Rattus norvegicus: one gene and its partner. The protein of the gene in region 1 purifies or fractionates together with the protein of each later gene. This does not show direct contact. Links are inferred from orthologs where the notes say so. Each region holds a gene or a part of one and is shown on either strand. Other genes may lie near its edges.

Region 1 (7,635 bases):
TGTCCTGTTTCCTCACCTAAGAAGTGGGAGTAACAAGGGACACTTCCTTTGGTTGATGTGAGGATGAAATAAGATGATATGGGCTAAGTTTAGAATGCTGTCTGCCACATAAAAGCACTCAGCTAAGGACGGCTATTATTATCAAACTCAAGACCAAGAAGAATGAATGTACTTAGCAACGATAAAAATCAATTAAGTACATACTAAATGCCAACATTCCACTGCTGTGCCAGGCACTGTCCAAAGAGAAGTGTGTCATGCCTAGTCCTTCATCCCACCAAACTAGTACTGCTCTAGGGACAAGGTCAAAAAGCTTGGCTTAATTAAGGAATATAGAATTTAAGTAGGTATTAAACTGTGAGAAAAATTGGCTTGTTATGTTTAATCAAAAAGAACCAAATGACAGAAAACATGTTTTGTGTATTCACTCAGTAGGGGGCAGGTACTGTTTGCCTTTTTAAGACAGGGTCTCACATAGCCAAGCCAGTCTCAAACTTGCTATGTAGCTGAGGCTGGCCTTGAACTCCAGCCTCCTGCCTCCACTTCCCAAGGGTGAGAATTACAGGAACCCGCTTTGTAGCAGGCACTGTCTTAGCATTTCACGCAAATTATCTCAGTTCTCAGAACTCTATGAAATAATTATAACCATAGATGAGGAGACAGCAGGAGAGGTAAAGCAAAATTCACCGAAACATTACAAAACTACCAAGAAGCTGAGGGAAAATCTAAACTCAGTTAACAAACCTCGAAAAGTTCAAAGATCTTAGCTTTTCAGTTAATAATGTAGAGACTGGTATAGGCACATCCCTTTAGTCCCACCACTCTAGAGGCTGAGGCAGGTGGATCTCTATGAGTTCCTGACCAGTCTGGTTTCATAGCCAGGTTCAGGCTAGCCAGAACTACACAGTGAGATCCTGTCTCGAAAAACAAAAAAGCACTCAGGAGGCAGAGTCTGAAGCTAGCCTGGTCTATCTACAGAGCAAGTTCCATGACAGCCAGGGCTACAGAGACACCTTGTCTCAAAACACAAAATAAACCAAGCCAAACAAACAAAATGACAGGGAAACCTCATCCCCTCAAATTAACTGAAAACAATTAGTAAGCTTTCATGTGCCCTGACCCCGGCTACCACTCTGGTGTCTTTTCCTTCTTTACTCCCTGCCTTTCATCCAGCCACGCCTGCCTCCTTGCTACTCTTTGTCCCCTGAAAGTCCTTGCATTTGCCCTCAGCACACACTGCCTTTCTCCACCACTCACAAAGCTCCCTCCATTCTGGTATCTGCTGATTCAGGCATCATCCTACCCAGGCAGTGGTGGTGCAGGTCTTTAATCCCAGCATTTAGGAGGCAGAGGCAAGTGGATCTCTGAGTTTGACGACAGCCTGGTCTACAGAGCAAGTTCCAGGACAGCCAGGGCTACACAGAGAACCCTGTCTTAGAAAAAATAAATCATCTCCTGAGAGAGGCTGTCCTCACCAGGGGATGGTAATTCTCCCTTCCCTCCATGCACTTAGCCTGCTCCATTTCCTTCGCACCACCTGCTATGACTTGATATTATTGGTAAATGCATGCAAACATCCACACGATGTCATGCAGAAGTTCGTTCTCTGCTCCTTACCAGTGAACATCAGTGCTCAAAGAATGGTCGCTGCACCCTGAGTGAAAGAACCCATCATATGCTTGGGACAGAGGTAAACAGCAGAAAAACAAAGATGAATGAACCATGTTTCCTACCTCAAACAGCTAACAATCTAGCAGAGAAGATGAGTATATTACAAAGAAAAAACAAAAAGAAATGAAAAACACACATTCAGCTAGGCAATTCTTTCTTTTTTTTCTTTTTTAAAGATTTTATTTTATGTGAGTACACTGTCTTCAGAAGAGGGCATCGGATCCCATTACAGATGGTTGTGAGCCACCATGTGATTGCTGGGAATTGAACTCAGGACCTCTGGAAGAGCAGTCAGTGCTCTTAACCACTGAGCCATCTCTCCAGCCCCAGCTAGGCAATTCTTTAACTTTTCTCAGCCTGTTTCCTACCTCATAACCTAGGAATATTTGTAATTACTCTACAGGGCTGTTACCGGTTAGGATATTACATGTAAAGCACTTTGCATATGGCCTAGCACACTATGTACTTAAACAGCAGCTAGTAACATTATTAATTATTGACTCTAAGGATCCAATGCCTAATCAGCACTAAATCAGTATCTATCACCAAGAAAACCACTCCTATTCCCCACCATCACCTTTCTTCGTTGTTTTGCTTTAAGACTCACTCTATAGCTCAGGCTGGCTTTGAACCCATGGAAACTGTCTTGCCTTGGTCTCCTGAGAGCCAGGGTTACAGACCTGACTCATCACACCTAGGCTTTGGTTTTAAACCCCTTCTCTGTTCCTCCTTCCTCTTATCCCTTTTTCCTTTTGAAAAGAGACTCAGATGTGGCCCAGGATGGCCTTGAACACACTAGTCAGTCTAGATTTGCCTCTAAGTAATGATAATCCTCCTGCTTCGGCCTCTCAAATGCTATTGTGTGCCAACTATGCCCAGTTTCAACTCTAAATTTTGATTTAAGTGAACACAGACTTGTGATTAAAAGAATCTGTATCAGTTCCTAAGCTTACTATACAACTTAATGCTCAGATATGAAATACCCACAGATAGACATTCAAACTAGGTTAGTGTCAATGAGAAAACTCCAGTCTTGAGAAAACACAATTTTTCTTTCTTTCTCCCTCACACCCCCTTTTTTTTTCTTCTTTCTGGTGGTTCAAAACAAGGTTCCTCTGTATAGCCCTGGCTGTCCTGGAACGCTACCAACAGGCTAGCCTCTGACACTCAGAGATCTGCCTGCCTCTACCTCTCAAGTGCTGGAATGAAAGGTCTGCCCCACCAACACCTTGCACAAAATTCTCTTTAAAATTTTTTTATTATTATTGTATTATGATATGTGGAATATACACACAAATTAATATAAACACACACTCTATGTGCCAGGGAACGAGTATGGATGAGTGTGGAGGTCAGAGGACAGTTCTGTGGAGTCAATTTGCTCCTTCCACGTTATCTGGGTTCTGGGGCTCAAATCAGGTTGTTAGGCCTTCGCAGCAAGCACTTTACCTAAGCCATCTTGCCAGCCCCTTGAATAAGAAATTTCTGATTTAACCTGTATTACAGCTCCAAAATAAAAGGAAACTGGGACACAAAGTACCATACTGTCTGTCTAGTCATCAATAGTATTATTGTGTTTTTAATATCTGGGTTGACAAGCTGACTATCCTTCCTACCTCCAAATCTAACCCTTCCCACCTGAAATCATCTACCTCTCAAATTCTACAGTATACATTTAGATTTAAAAGCAAAGTAACAAGCTGGGTGTGGTGGTGCACATTATTAATTCCAGCACTTGGGAGGCAGGTGGATCTCTCATTTTGAAGCCAGCCTGGTCTACAGGATGAGTTGCAGGGCAGTCAGAGCTATCGAAAAACTGTTTCAAAAATTAAAGTAAAAGCAAAGTGATAGCTTATGTTTTAAAGTTTAGGACATAATTGTAATTTAGAACTGACTCTACCTATTAACAGAGTATAGCTAAGCTCACAAAAAAACACAATGATAAACCCCATAGATGGTTGTCACTATTTTAAAAGTAAAATTGCTTCTGTTGTTCTGTTTACAAGGCTCTGGGCCGATTCTGAGGCTCAAAAAACCACTTTACACTTTAATGGTGAGAAGGGAGTTTTAAGGTAAGCAGTTACAAACTGACTTTGTACCAGGCAGAAAATGAAATCTTCATGTTTTGAAATTTTAAAAACGTCTTTGCTACAAAAGACAACCTAAACTAAAATGTTCCCGGTGCATTCTCCGCCATAAAACAGGAGTCCCTCCCCCCTTAAATACCAGTCATTGACTGATTTCCAGATTAATTACCAGGAAGCACAGTGTGTTAAATCACCCAAAATGCACGCATTCTCCACTTCCCTTAATTGAAAGTTGCTGATGTCCGAGGACCCAACCGCCGAGCAGAATGTGAACCTAAAGTCGCAACCAGTAAGCACCCCCCTGATCCGAACTGAGGAAAACAAGGTGGGTGGGGAGACGGGGACGACTGGAAAAACTCGGCTGACCACTGCGCCATGTCAACCCTGTGCTCACAGTCCTAGAGATGACACACACTCTCTCCCACCCTCTGGCTGTCGGCTCTGTTGACCCCCAGCACCGTCAACTCACAACCCCGAAGACAGGGGTGTGGACCTAAAGGGCCCGAGCCTGACCGACCCGGGAGAAGGCAGCTCGCCGCGCCGGGAGTGGAGGCTCGCGGCTGCCTCAGGTTTGGCCGTAGCTGAGGCCCCGATCCGGCTCCGCGTCTTAGCAGCTTCACCCAGGCCTGTCCCTGAGGCCGCACCCCCGCTCCCGGCTGGGTCCCCTCGCTCACTGGCTTGGCTGATCCGCTGGATGTTGCCACTGCATGTCTGGATGATGCTGTTGAAGTCACGGGGCTGAGGCCCCGACGGCCCGGGATTCCGATACATGTCTAAGGGACCGTAGGACATGACACGGAGCAGAGACCGGGGTCGCGCTTCACGGCGCTCCTACCGGAAGCTGCCACTGACCGGGCCCAGTAGCTGAGAGGAAAACCGGGAAGAGAGAGGGCGGGGAAGGGGCCGTGACTGCGTACACACTGACCCCGCCCATTGCGGTGCGCATGCGCACGCCCCGCCCCATCCCGCAGTGCGCGTGTGCTGCTGGAACTGACGGTAGGTAGTGTCTTGAGAGTTTTCAAACTGCTGGGAGTAAGCGTTCTCGCAAGACTGGACACCTCTAGCTATGCAGCCAACTCAGGACCTGACTTCTTACCCCAGTCTCCTACAGACGGCGTGCCCCGCGCTCAACAACCTGCCTGCCACCAACATGCTCGTCCGCATCCTGCTGCTCGGCGCAGCACTGCTGCTCAGCCACCCTGCAAATTCTCGCTTTTTCAACCCATGGCAAAACAGAGGTGAATGCACGAGCATGGGATTGGACCAGTACAATTCTGTTGTACCCGACAGAATTCGATGGTGAAAACTGTTCAACACCTACATTTCTAACAAGAATGAAGTTACTACCGAAACCAACCGCCAACACGGTGTACTCCGTGCTTACCCACTTCAAGGGATTCTGGAACATTGTCAATATCATTTCCTAACTTTGAGGCCATTCTGGTATACAGGCCATTCTGTGAGTTCCAGGACAGCTAAGGTGACACAGAGAAACCCTGTCTCGAAACACACACACACACACACACACACACACACACACAAAACCAACAAATAAAAAACATTCCCTTCCTGCGGAATTCAGTCATGAGATATATTGCCAGTTAGATCGCATTTGGCTGACAGCCCACCAACTTAAAATGTGCACCACACCGACGAAAACTGGGCTGCCTTCCCCAGCCTCTCCTACTACATCAAAGCCCCTCCTCCTGTGACAGATAACTAACTGCTTGACTCCCGACTCCGACTCTGGATGTGTAAAAGGGAAGAAGAGACTTTCTGATTCAAAAGGTTATGGGAAAAGTTCTAAGAAAAAAATTCATTCCTGATCCCCGAGGCATGAATATGATTTTGCATTCTTCTCCCAGTATTTCAAGACAGACCAGAGACTTACATTCGCCAGAGGATTGGGCCACGGAGTTGCCATAAGCCATGTTTTTGGTGAAACTCCAGATAGACACCATAAACTGCTCCTTTCCTTTTATTTTAATTATTTTTATGCTCAGCGGTGTTTTGCCTATGTGAGGGTGTCAGAAGCCCTGGAATTGGGGTTACAGACAGCTGTGAGCTGCTGTGTGGTTGCTGGGAATTGAGCCTGTGTCCTTTGGAAGAGCAGCCAGTGTTCTTGACTGTTCAACCATCTCTCCAGCCCCAAACTTTGCCTTTTCAAGGATGAAAAATTGAAGTGTCAGGTAATTGATGAAAAGGTATATTCTTTCATCAGAGAGATCAGGGACACTCAGGTGGAGGCAAGCTACCCACATCACACCCCAAACACCTGCAGTTAGCTGCGGGGGGCGAGAGATCTTGGGTCTGACAACTGGTCACATGGTATAAGCTACAATATGAACCAGCCCCACAAATCCCACGGAAGCCTTACTAATCATTTGAGGAGCTCAGGAGAAAAAGAGGCGGCTAAGTTGGAAGCTTTCTGTGGTGACATCGATCCTGTCCTCTCCTGCTGTTAGAAAAGCCTCTTCCAGATGCTGTCTCTGGGGAGACCCTAGTTGAAATCGAGGCACCATTCTCCTTGGAAGGGCTTACATCTAATCTTATCTGTTCTCACTACTAGAAGCCAAGCACGTTTGGGGAAGTAGGTTTTAAGATCACCAATGCTGCCTCAATTCAGTGTCTCAACTTCAGTAACATGAAGGTCCCTTCATTCAATGTTCAGGGCTTCCCCAGACAACCGCCATGATTAGTACAAGTGCTTTGACTCCAGATAAATAGTGACTTAAGTATCAGATCTCTCCAGGTTTGGAACATGCTAGACAGGACAATGAAGTGAAATAGGAGATGCCTTTGGACAAGTTTTCCTACCCATGTTGTATCTCCCCAAAGTCCAGGTCATCATGCAAGAAATTTTGATTTACATTAAATTGTGCCAGATTACCCCAACCGTTACTTCCTTTTCTGCTCTATTCTGAGAACCCAGGCTCAAATATAGGCAAATTAAGCAACCTTGACGTTCAGATCTATAGCCGATTGGTGAGTTTTAAGGGTTTCAAAGTACTTTTATTTCTCCCTCCTCTCTTTTTTTTAAATATTTATTTTTTTATTTATTGTATTATGTGAGTATACTGTTGCTGTCTTCAGACACACCAGAAGGGCACATCGGATCCCATTACAAATGGTTGTGAGCCACCGCGTGGTTGCTGGGAATTGAACTCAGGACCTCTAGAGGAGCAGTCAGTGCTCTTAACCGCTGAACTGTCTCTCCAGCCCCTCTCCCTCCTAATTACTCAATAAAGTAACAATCATATTTTGGGGGCACATACTATGTGTGAATTCTCATTTTAAGTTGCTGGTTTTATAAACACTTTACAGCAAGGAAAGCATCCCCATTTTTATCTTTAAATGTATTTTGTTTGGTTTGAATTTTTGTTTGTTTTTCAAGACAGCGTTTTTCTGTATAACCCTGGCTGTCCTGGAACTTACTTTGTAGACCAAGCTGGCCTCGAACTCAAAGACCTGCGTACCTCTCTGCATCTGCCTCCCAAGTGCTGGGATTAAAAGCAATGGCATCTTGGCTGGACAGTGTGGCACACAGCCTTAATCTCAGCACCTGGAAGGCAGAGGCAGGCAGATCTCTGAATTCAAGACCAACTACACAGTAAGTTCTGGGCCATCAAGGAATACACGGTGAGACCCTGTTTCAAACAAAAACAATGGAGCCAGGAATGGTAGTGCAAGCCTTTAAGGCAGGCAGATCTCAGAGTTCCAGGCCAGCCTGGCCTTCAAAGTAAGTTCCAGAACAGCCAGGGCTACACAAAGAAACTCTGCCTTGAACGCCCCCCCCCAAAAAAAAACCCCAAATGAGGGCCAAGGAGATGGGGTATTAGGTAAGAGCCTTTGTTCTACACAAAGAGCCTGAATTCGA
Region 2 (7,186 bases), about 16 Mb from region 1:
AAATTCTCTCATACTTAACATACAACACACGGATGATGCCTCAAAGTCGAGAAAGCCCGAGATGCTGGTAAGGAATAAGCTAGTGGAATGGGAAAGACAGAGGTTAAGGAAGGAGGGATGAGCCCTGGGGAATACGCTGGAGGATAAAGGAAGGCTATTGAGAAGGGGAACTGAATCTGTGTGATGCCTTGGGCTCAGGGAAATGAGTGGGCCAACAGAACTGAACAGCACTGACCCTGCCAGGCCATCCTTGTGCAGAGCAGTTTAGTCATTAAGAACCTTAACATGAGAACAGGTGAGAAAGGAAGGGCCAGACTGATGGGAGCTTGTGCTTAAGGAAAAGTATTTAGACTTTGGCGTTGCAAACATAAACAAAAACCTACCTGGTCCACATTACATTGTTTGCAAGAGTTGGGAAATGAGGAAGAATGTATTCAAAGGCAGGCAGATGTAGAGAAAAGCCACACATCTGGAACATCCCTCACCCATCCAAGTTGACCTATGTGATTGGTGGCTATGTGGTGTACCAGGGTCAGCTCTACAGATCACTTCCAGAAGACTGTATTTAAGAAGCCCAATGGTGGGCTGGACAGATGGCTCAGCAGTTAAGAGCACTGACTGCTCTTCCAGAGGTCCCGAGTTCAATTCCCAGCAACCACATGGTGGCTCAAAACCATCTGTAGTGAGATCTGATGCCCTCTTCTGGTGTGTCTGAAGACAGTGACAGTGTATTCAAATACATAAAATAAATAAATCTTAAAAAAAAAAAAAAAAAAAGCAGCCCAATGGCCAAATCCTGACTGGTCTGGTAACTCCAAATCAGCTACAGACTCTTCTCTGCTCTGAAAAGCCCTTTTCGTTTAAGGTATGTGATGGTTAATTTCAGTTGTTGACTGTTGGGTGTGGAATCAACTAAGCCGAAGCCTGCCAGGTATTCCTGATGATTTCCCTGCTCAGACTGTGTGAAGTGGGGAAGGCGTATCCTAAATGTAGGCAGCGACCTTGGGTGGCCGTCCAGATAAAGATGGGAGAGTGAAGCTCTGCTCTTTGCCTTCACTCACAGGCAAATTAACCCACCTTGCTGCTGCTGCTGTACTCTGCTGTTATCAGAACTCAACGTGTTATCATGGCTTCTGCACGGGCTGAACACCAGATGTTTGCCAGGAATCCCCCAGGCCAGCAGTGCCACATGGGAACTTCTGATCACTCAGGCCCATGGACCAAGCAGCTATCAGCTTCATAGCTTCCTCAGTGTGAGGTAGACCATATACATCAGCCAATCTAAAAATCTCTCTCTCTCTCTCTCTCTCTCTCTCTCTCTCTCTCTCTCACACACACACACACACTTCATCTTATCTTCTGTTGCTCTAGAGAACCCTAAGGACTATGTACTCCTAGGAGAATAGAGCAGAAAAAAGGTAGTTTGTCAGGGAGCGAGGGAGAACATCAAGGGTTAGAAGTTTAGGACATGCATCAGGTATATCCCCCACTCCACTCCAAGAAACAAGACACAGGTTCATGTTAATAACTTTATTCCGGTCACCATAGCGGGAACATTCCCAGCTAAATGCACAGAGAAGCGAGGTATTACTGTGTTAATACAGGAGCCAACGACTTACATGGGACAGAGTACGAGGAGACAGCACCAAAGTTGTGGGGTCAGACCAGGACAGAGGCCCTAGCTATGTGGCAAGGCATGTCTTCAACACTTGTTTTGTTTCAGTAATGTTAGGGGATCAGATAAAAAAAACTAGAACCAGATCCTATGACATTTTGGCTAATGCTGCTTTGCACACAGACACACATTTCAGGACATCCTGGTGGCACTGCCACAGTCTCCCAGAACTCTGTGCAGACTGTTGCCTTTGTGAGGCTTCAGATGCTGCTCTCATCACACTAGTGGCCACAGGCTAGTGCAGTCTGCAAACTACTATCTTGCATACAGGTGTGATTTGAGGTCACCTCTATCGCTCTAGGAAAGAAACCACATCAGGATGAGAAGCTGTACCTACAGCATTCCACAGGAAGGACTGTCAAGATGCTGCGGGCTCAGACAGTACTAACATTTTTTCTTAAAGGGCACCTTGAGTTACACTTGGCACTTATTTGAATTTACTACTGGGGGACAAACTTATGGACAATTCATTTGTATTTAACTTTTGGCAAAATAGAAACTTTGGTCACAGTTCTATAAAAACTTCCTAAAGGGTTATTTCTGATTAAAATACTGTTTTAGAAGTGATACACAACAAGAACTAGAAAGTGAACATCTCCGTATCTAACATAAGAGCATGAGCTCTTCACCAGCATCTTAAATACAGCGGGGTCGGTAGTGCTTACAAAAGTACTCTTAATGAAAAGTTACCTAGTTATCAAAATAAGGCACGCCCTGCTGTTGTCACTGATTTTTGTTAGGCAGTAGTGTTCTTCTTGGAAGGTCCAAGTTGGGAATCTAATTACCCAAAGGTTTAAACTGTGGTTTTGAAGTCCATGTTAGGTGTGGGGACAGCTGACTTGAACAAAATCCTCTTCCTTGAATCCACAAGCCATCAGTGACAACATCCACCTAGATCTCAGCACTCTGAAACACACAAGTCCTCTTTCCCAGTCCATAAATCTGTAAAGGCACTGTGCAAAATGTGGGCAGGGCAGGTCACACCTCGAGTGTATATGAAAAACAAAGGCACATTTTCTAGGCACTGAACTGTATGTAAACTAACACAAATAATCATTTGGGAAAAAAAAAAAACAACAGGGAAGTGCGACAACACGCAGTTCTAAGTAGAAAGTCTCGAAGAAGATCCTGCCGTCAGGCTTCATTTCCTCTGTTCTTCATTAAGAGACACACCACACTAAAAGGCAGGGAAAATTTAGAAACAAGGAAAGGAAAAGGGCAGTTTAGTCTTTCTGTGTAGATACTAAGTAGGGGTTTCTATTGTCTAAACAGGGGCAAACAGAAATTGATTTGGCCAGTTTTCTACTGGTAGCTTCTTTACATACTACAGGATTCTGGGGAAGACTGAAATCAAAAGAGGAAAAGGAAATACCTACTAACATTAACGAGCAAAGAAGGCATGCTTTGCTAGGACGTTCCCATAGACTGGACTAAAAACAGAATGAGTTCTAATATATAGCGATGAGAGTGGTGGTAGTAGCTATGTGCTACCTATATACTGTATGTACTATGTACTGTACGTACTATCTAACATGCCCTGTCGTCTACATATACACTGCATGTACTATGTACTGTATGTACTATCTAACATGCCCTGTCATCTATATATATACTATATGTACTATGTACTGTGTGTACTATCTAACATGCCCTGTTGTCTATATATACACTATATGTACTATGTACTGTATGTACTATCTAACATGCCCTGTTGTCTATATATATTATTGACATAGTTACTATTCCTGTTCTCTTATGCCAGGTGATTTCTTATGTAGCACCCAGGTCTGTCCTAACAACACAAGGTGGACGCCATTACTATCTTCATTTATTCATGAGGACCCCGAGGCTCGGATAGACCCGACTGCTTGCCCAAGGCCATAGAACCTCTACTACAGGTGGCAGAGCTGGGATGGATCAAGGTAGTCTCAGCTAATCACTACATTCCTCGAAAGGCAACAGACATAGGAGAGAAAAATTGACCACATAGTAGGAATGAGATCTGCTATTCTTAGAGGATGAATGCATCCACCTATCCATCTAGCCAGCCATCTAGCCACCCATCTATCTAAACAAAACACCAGACTTTAGTTATAAAACTCAATTATTTAGGGTCAGTTTGGTGGCACATGCCTATAATCCTAGCACTTGAAATGCTGAGGCAGGAAGATCACAAGTTCAAGGCCAGCCTGGGATGAACACTGAGACCCTGCCTCAAACTTCCCTCAATACCACCATCTCAAAATACGCATTTGGTAAAGAACAGTATTTAAGCCTCGGACTGAATCCGCCCTTTGCTGCTGCACAGGCGACCCTCGATGACCAGGGGTAACTCACCAATGATGATAATGACAATAATCACCAGGACACTGATCCCTATCGCCCACATCTGCAACGAGACAGATCCATTAACACTGCAAAACAGACAGGGCTTGCCGCAGCAGCTACAGCATGGAATAACATATCATTTCAAAAGCCTAAATTCTGTATTTTCAGTTATGGCCTGAAATTTAGTTATGGGCTTTCAGACGTGTATCCCAATCCTCTGTGACCCCTGGAAAGACAAACATTTCCGCACAGGTTCCTGATCTTGTTCCATCATCTCAGAGTGTCCCTTCTACACAAAGCATGACAGGAAGTGTCTGAGCTCTGGTCACAGACTGACTTTCTCATTTGCTAAGTCTGATTTGGACGATACTCAGATGTTGCTTTCTCCTCTCGTTGAACAAGGTGGGGTTTCTTAGCATTTAACTTCTGAAATTGGAGCCATTCCCAGAATGGGCAGCAAACTGAGCATCAAAGCCAACGCCCCCATCAGTGTGTTCTCAGGTACCTGGGCTGGGGTCTATTCCTCCTGACTGCTTTGAGCAGTCTGATTCTGCATGGCTTCTAACTTTAGCCACAAAACATGGGATTAGATTCCCAGCTGTGGGCAAGGAATAGGGATGCAGACTCACAGTTGGCCCAGGTTCTACCCACTACCCAGAGTCCCCCAATGCAGCAGTGTGCCCGTGTGACACTCGGGGAATGGAGAGGCCGCTGTGAAGGTCTGTCACATTACCTTGCAGTTCTTCCACCAATACTTTCTCTTCAACTTGGCAGCACTTGTTTCAAACTGCGAGGCGCCTGCCTGCAGTGCATCTGCGCGGTCGTCTAGCTCTGAGAGCTTCTGGTCTCTTTCTAACACCTTATCCACATTGACTCTCATGATGTCCACCACCTAAATGGACATGGTCACAGTTACACAGAAAGGAGAGGAGAACAAAACTCCACATGAAATCTATGGGCACTGTATTTTCCCCAGGTCAGTACTTTATTGAGCTAAACTTTCGACTCAAAAGGAGGCCCAGCCTTTGTGGAAAATCCACTCAGCAAACCAGGAATAGAAGGGAACTTCAATAATGGGCACTTACAGGGAAACCCACATTAGTATCACATGCTATGGTGAGAGACTCAACTTCCTTCTAAGATCTGAAGCAGAACAACGGGGTGCTTCACTTTCCTGGCTGTTCAACACTACCCTGGTGTCCTGGTTAGGGCAATTAGTCAAGGGAAGAAAGGCATCTGGGTTGGAAAGGAGGAATATAACAACTATGTACGCCACATGTAAAACTCTACAGAGAACCCATAAGACTCCTTCACAGGAGGCTGGAGAGATGACTCATCAGGTAAAGTCCCTGTTGTCAGGTCTAATGACCTGAGCTCAACCTCTGGGCCCACACGATGAAGAGAGGAAACCCATCCTGCAGGTGGTCTGTCTTCTGACCTCTGCATGTGGTGCATGCATTGTGTGTTCCCACCACCAGTTATTGTTAGAGCCAGGTGGTCTGTGCCCATTAGTGATTCCTACACCCTTAAGGCAAGATGCGAGGTGGAGACAGGAGAATCGCCCGCATGTTCACGGGCCAGTTAGCCTGCATTTCATAGCACAGCATGGCAGAAACAAGAGACATCACCTTAGCAAGGTAGAAGAGAACCAACTTCAAGAAAGCTGTCCTCTGACCTCCATAGCATACCTGTGCCTGCTGAGTGAAGTACCTTCCCTCTTCAGTGCACGTGAAAGCACATGCACACGTGCACACTAAATAGAGATATTTAACAGAATTTTTCAAAAACTACAAGGAATAAATTCAGTCAAGTTGCGGCATCTAAGATAAACACTTATTAGTTGCTTTTCTTCATGCCAACAATGAGCAATCCAAAAAGGACATTAAGAGAACAGTGTCTTTACCAAAAAATCTCAAAAATAAATCATAAGCAATATAATTACAGAGTTGGAAGTCTTGCAGAATAAAGAAACTATACATTAGATTGAGTAGGTCTGCTGGATGAAAGGCTTGCTGCACAAACATGAGGACCTGAGTTTGGGTGTGGAATGCTCACAGGACAAAACAGGTGTGGCAGTCTGCTCCTGTAACCCAGCCCTGGGGTAGGCAGGGAGAGGAGGATCCCAGAGACTCACTGGTCAACTAGTTTAGTCAACAGCTGAGCTATGGGTTCAGTGTAGGCCCCTGCCTCAAAAATTAAGGTATAAAGAAAATAGAAGGGTTGGGGATTTAGCTCAGTGGTAGAGCGCTTGCCTAGGAAGCGCAAGGCCCTGGGTTCGATCCCCAGCTCCGAAAAAAAGAACCAAAAAAAAAAAAAAGAAAAGAAAAGAAAATAGAAGAAAATCCCTGATTTTGACCTCTGGCCACATGTGTACACACATGCATATGCTACACCCATTCACAAAAGAGAAGCCAAAACAACACAGAACACTGCTCTATGCTGAGTACAATAGCACATACCTGCTATTTGGGAGGCTAAGGCAACACACACACACGCACATGTACACGCACAGAGACACAGACAGAGACAGACACAGAGAGACAGAGAGAAGAATTAAAGTATTACTAACGGGAAAGACATCCACGTTGGCACATTGGAAGACTTAATACTGTGGAGATGGCAGTACTCCTAGAGTGACCTACAGAGTCAATATAATCCCAACAGCCGTTTCCCTCAGGAAGACTGTCATGTAATTCCCACTCCGGTGTTTTTTTTCCACATGTAAGCTCAAAAAAACTGAGAATAAATAAACCAATATTAAAAGAAAGAGTTATAATAGTCATTTCAAAACTCACCACAAAGCTAGAATAATCAAAGCTGTAGTAGCGGTACAGTGAGAGCAGCGAGGAAGAGAGAACACTGAGAGCCTACATACATGTTTACAGCCAAATGAACTGATTTATTTACTGACTGATCTGCTTTGGTGCCAATGATGCTTGTATAGGATAGCCAAGTGCTCTACCACTGAGCAATACTGAGGCTGCCATTCAAAGAGATGCTAAGACCAACAAATGGAGTACCTAAATGAGTCTTTCCATAAGGAAAGACTAGACAGACCAGGGAGCTGAGTTTAGGTGCTAAGACTATAAACATTCTTAGAAGTAAAACAGTAAAGCTTTTCTGTTGCTGTGCTACAACACCATGACCAAAAGCAAAAGCAACCTCGGGCCGCAGAGGCTTATT

The links. The genes of interacting proteins can lie anywhere in the genome.
Region 2: the proteins of Stx12 (region 1) and Vamp3 purify together in Homo sapiens (affinity purification with mass spectrometry; 3 studies listed by BioGRID and IntAct, counting the BioPlex papers as one, with this or other methods). This does not show direct contact. The link is inferred for Rattus norvegicus from reciprocal best matches to the Homo sapiens genes STX12 and VAMP3.

Annotation. Positions count from the first base shown.
Region 1 is NC_086023.1:150,371,719-150,379,353, forward strand, and holds the start of Stx12 (syntaxin-12), read right to left. Parts: upstream 4,629-7,635; 5' UTR 4,551-4,628; coding exon 4,433-4,550; intron 1-4,432. UniProt on the Homo sapiens protein: SNARE promoting fusion of transport vesicles with target membranes. Together with SNARE STX6, promotes movement of vesicles from endosomes to the cell membrane, and may therefore function in the endocytic recycling pathway.
Region 2 is NC_086023.1:166,779,412-166,786,597, forward strand, and holds the end of Vamp3 (vesicle-associated membrane protein 3), read right to left. Parts: intron 4,896-7,186; coding exon 4,737-4,895; intron 4,065-4,736; coding exon 4,013-4,064; intron 2,853-4,012; coding exon 2,836-2,852; 3' UTR 1,516-2,835; downstream 1-1,515. UniProt on the Homo sapiens protein: SNARE involved in vesicular transport from the late endosomes to the trans-Golgi network.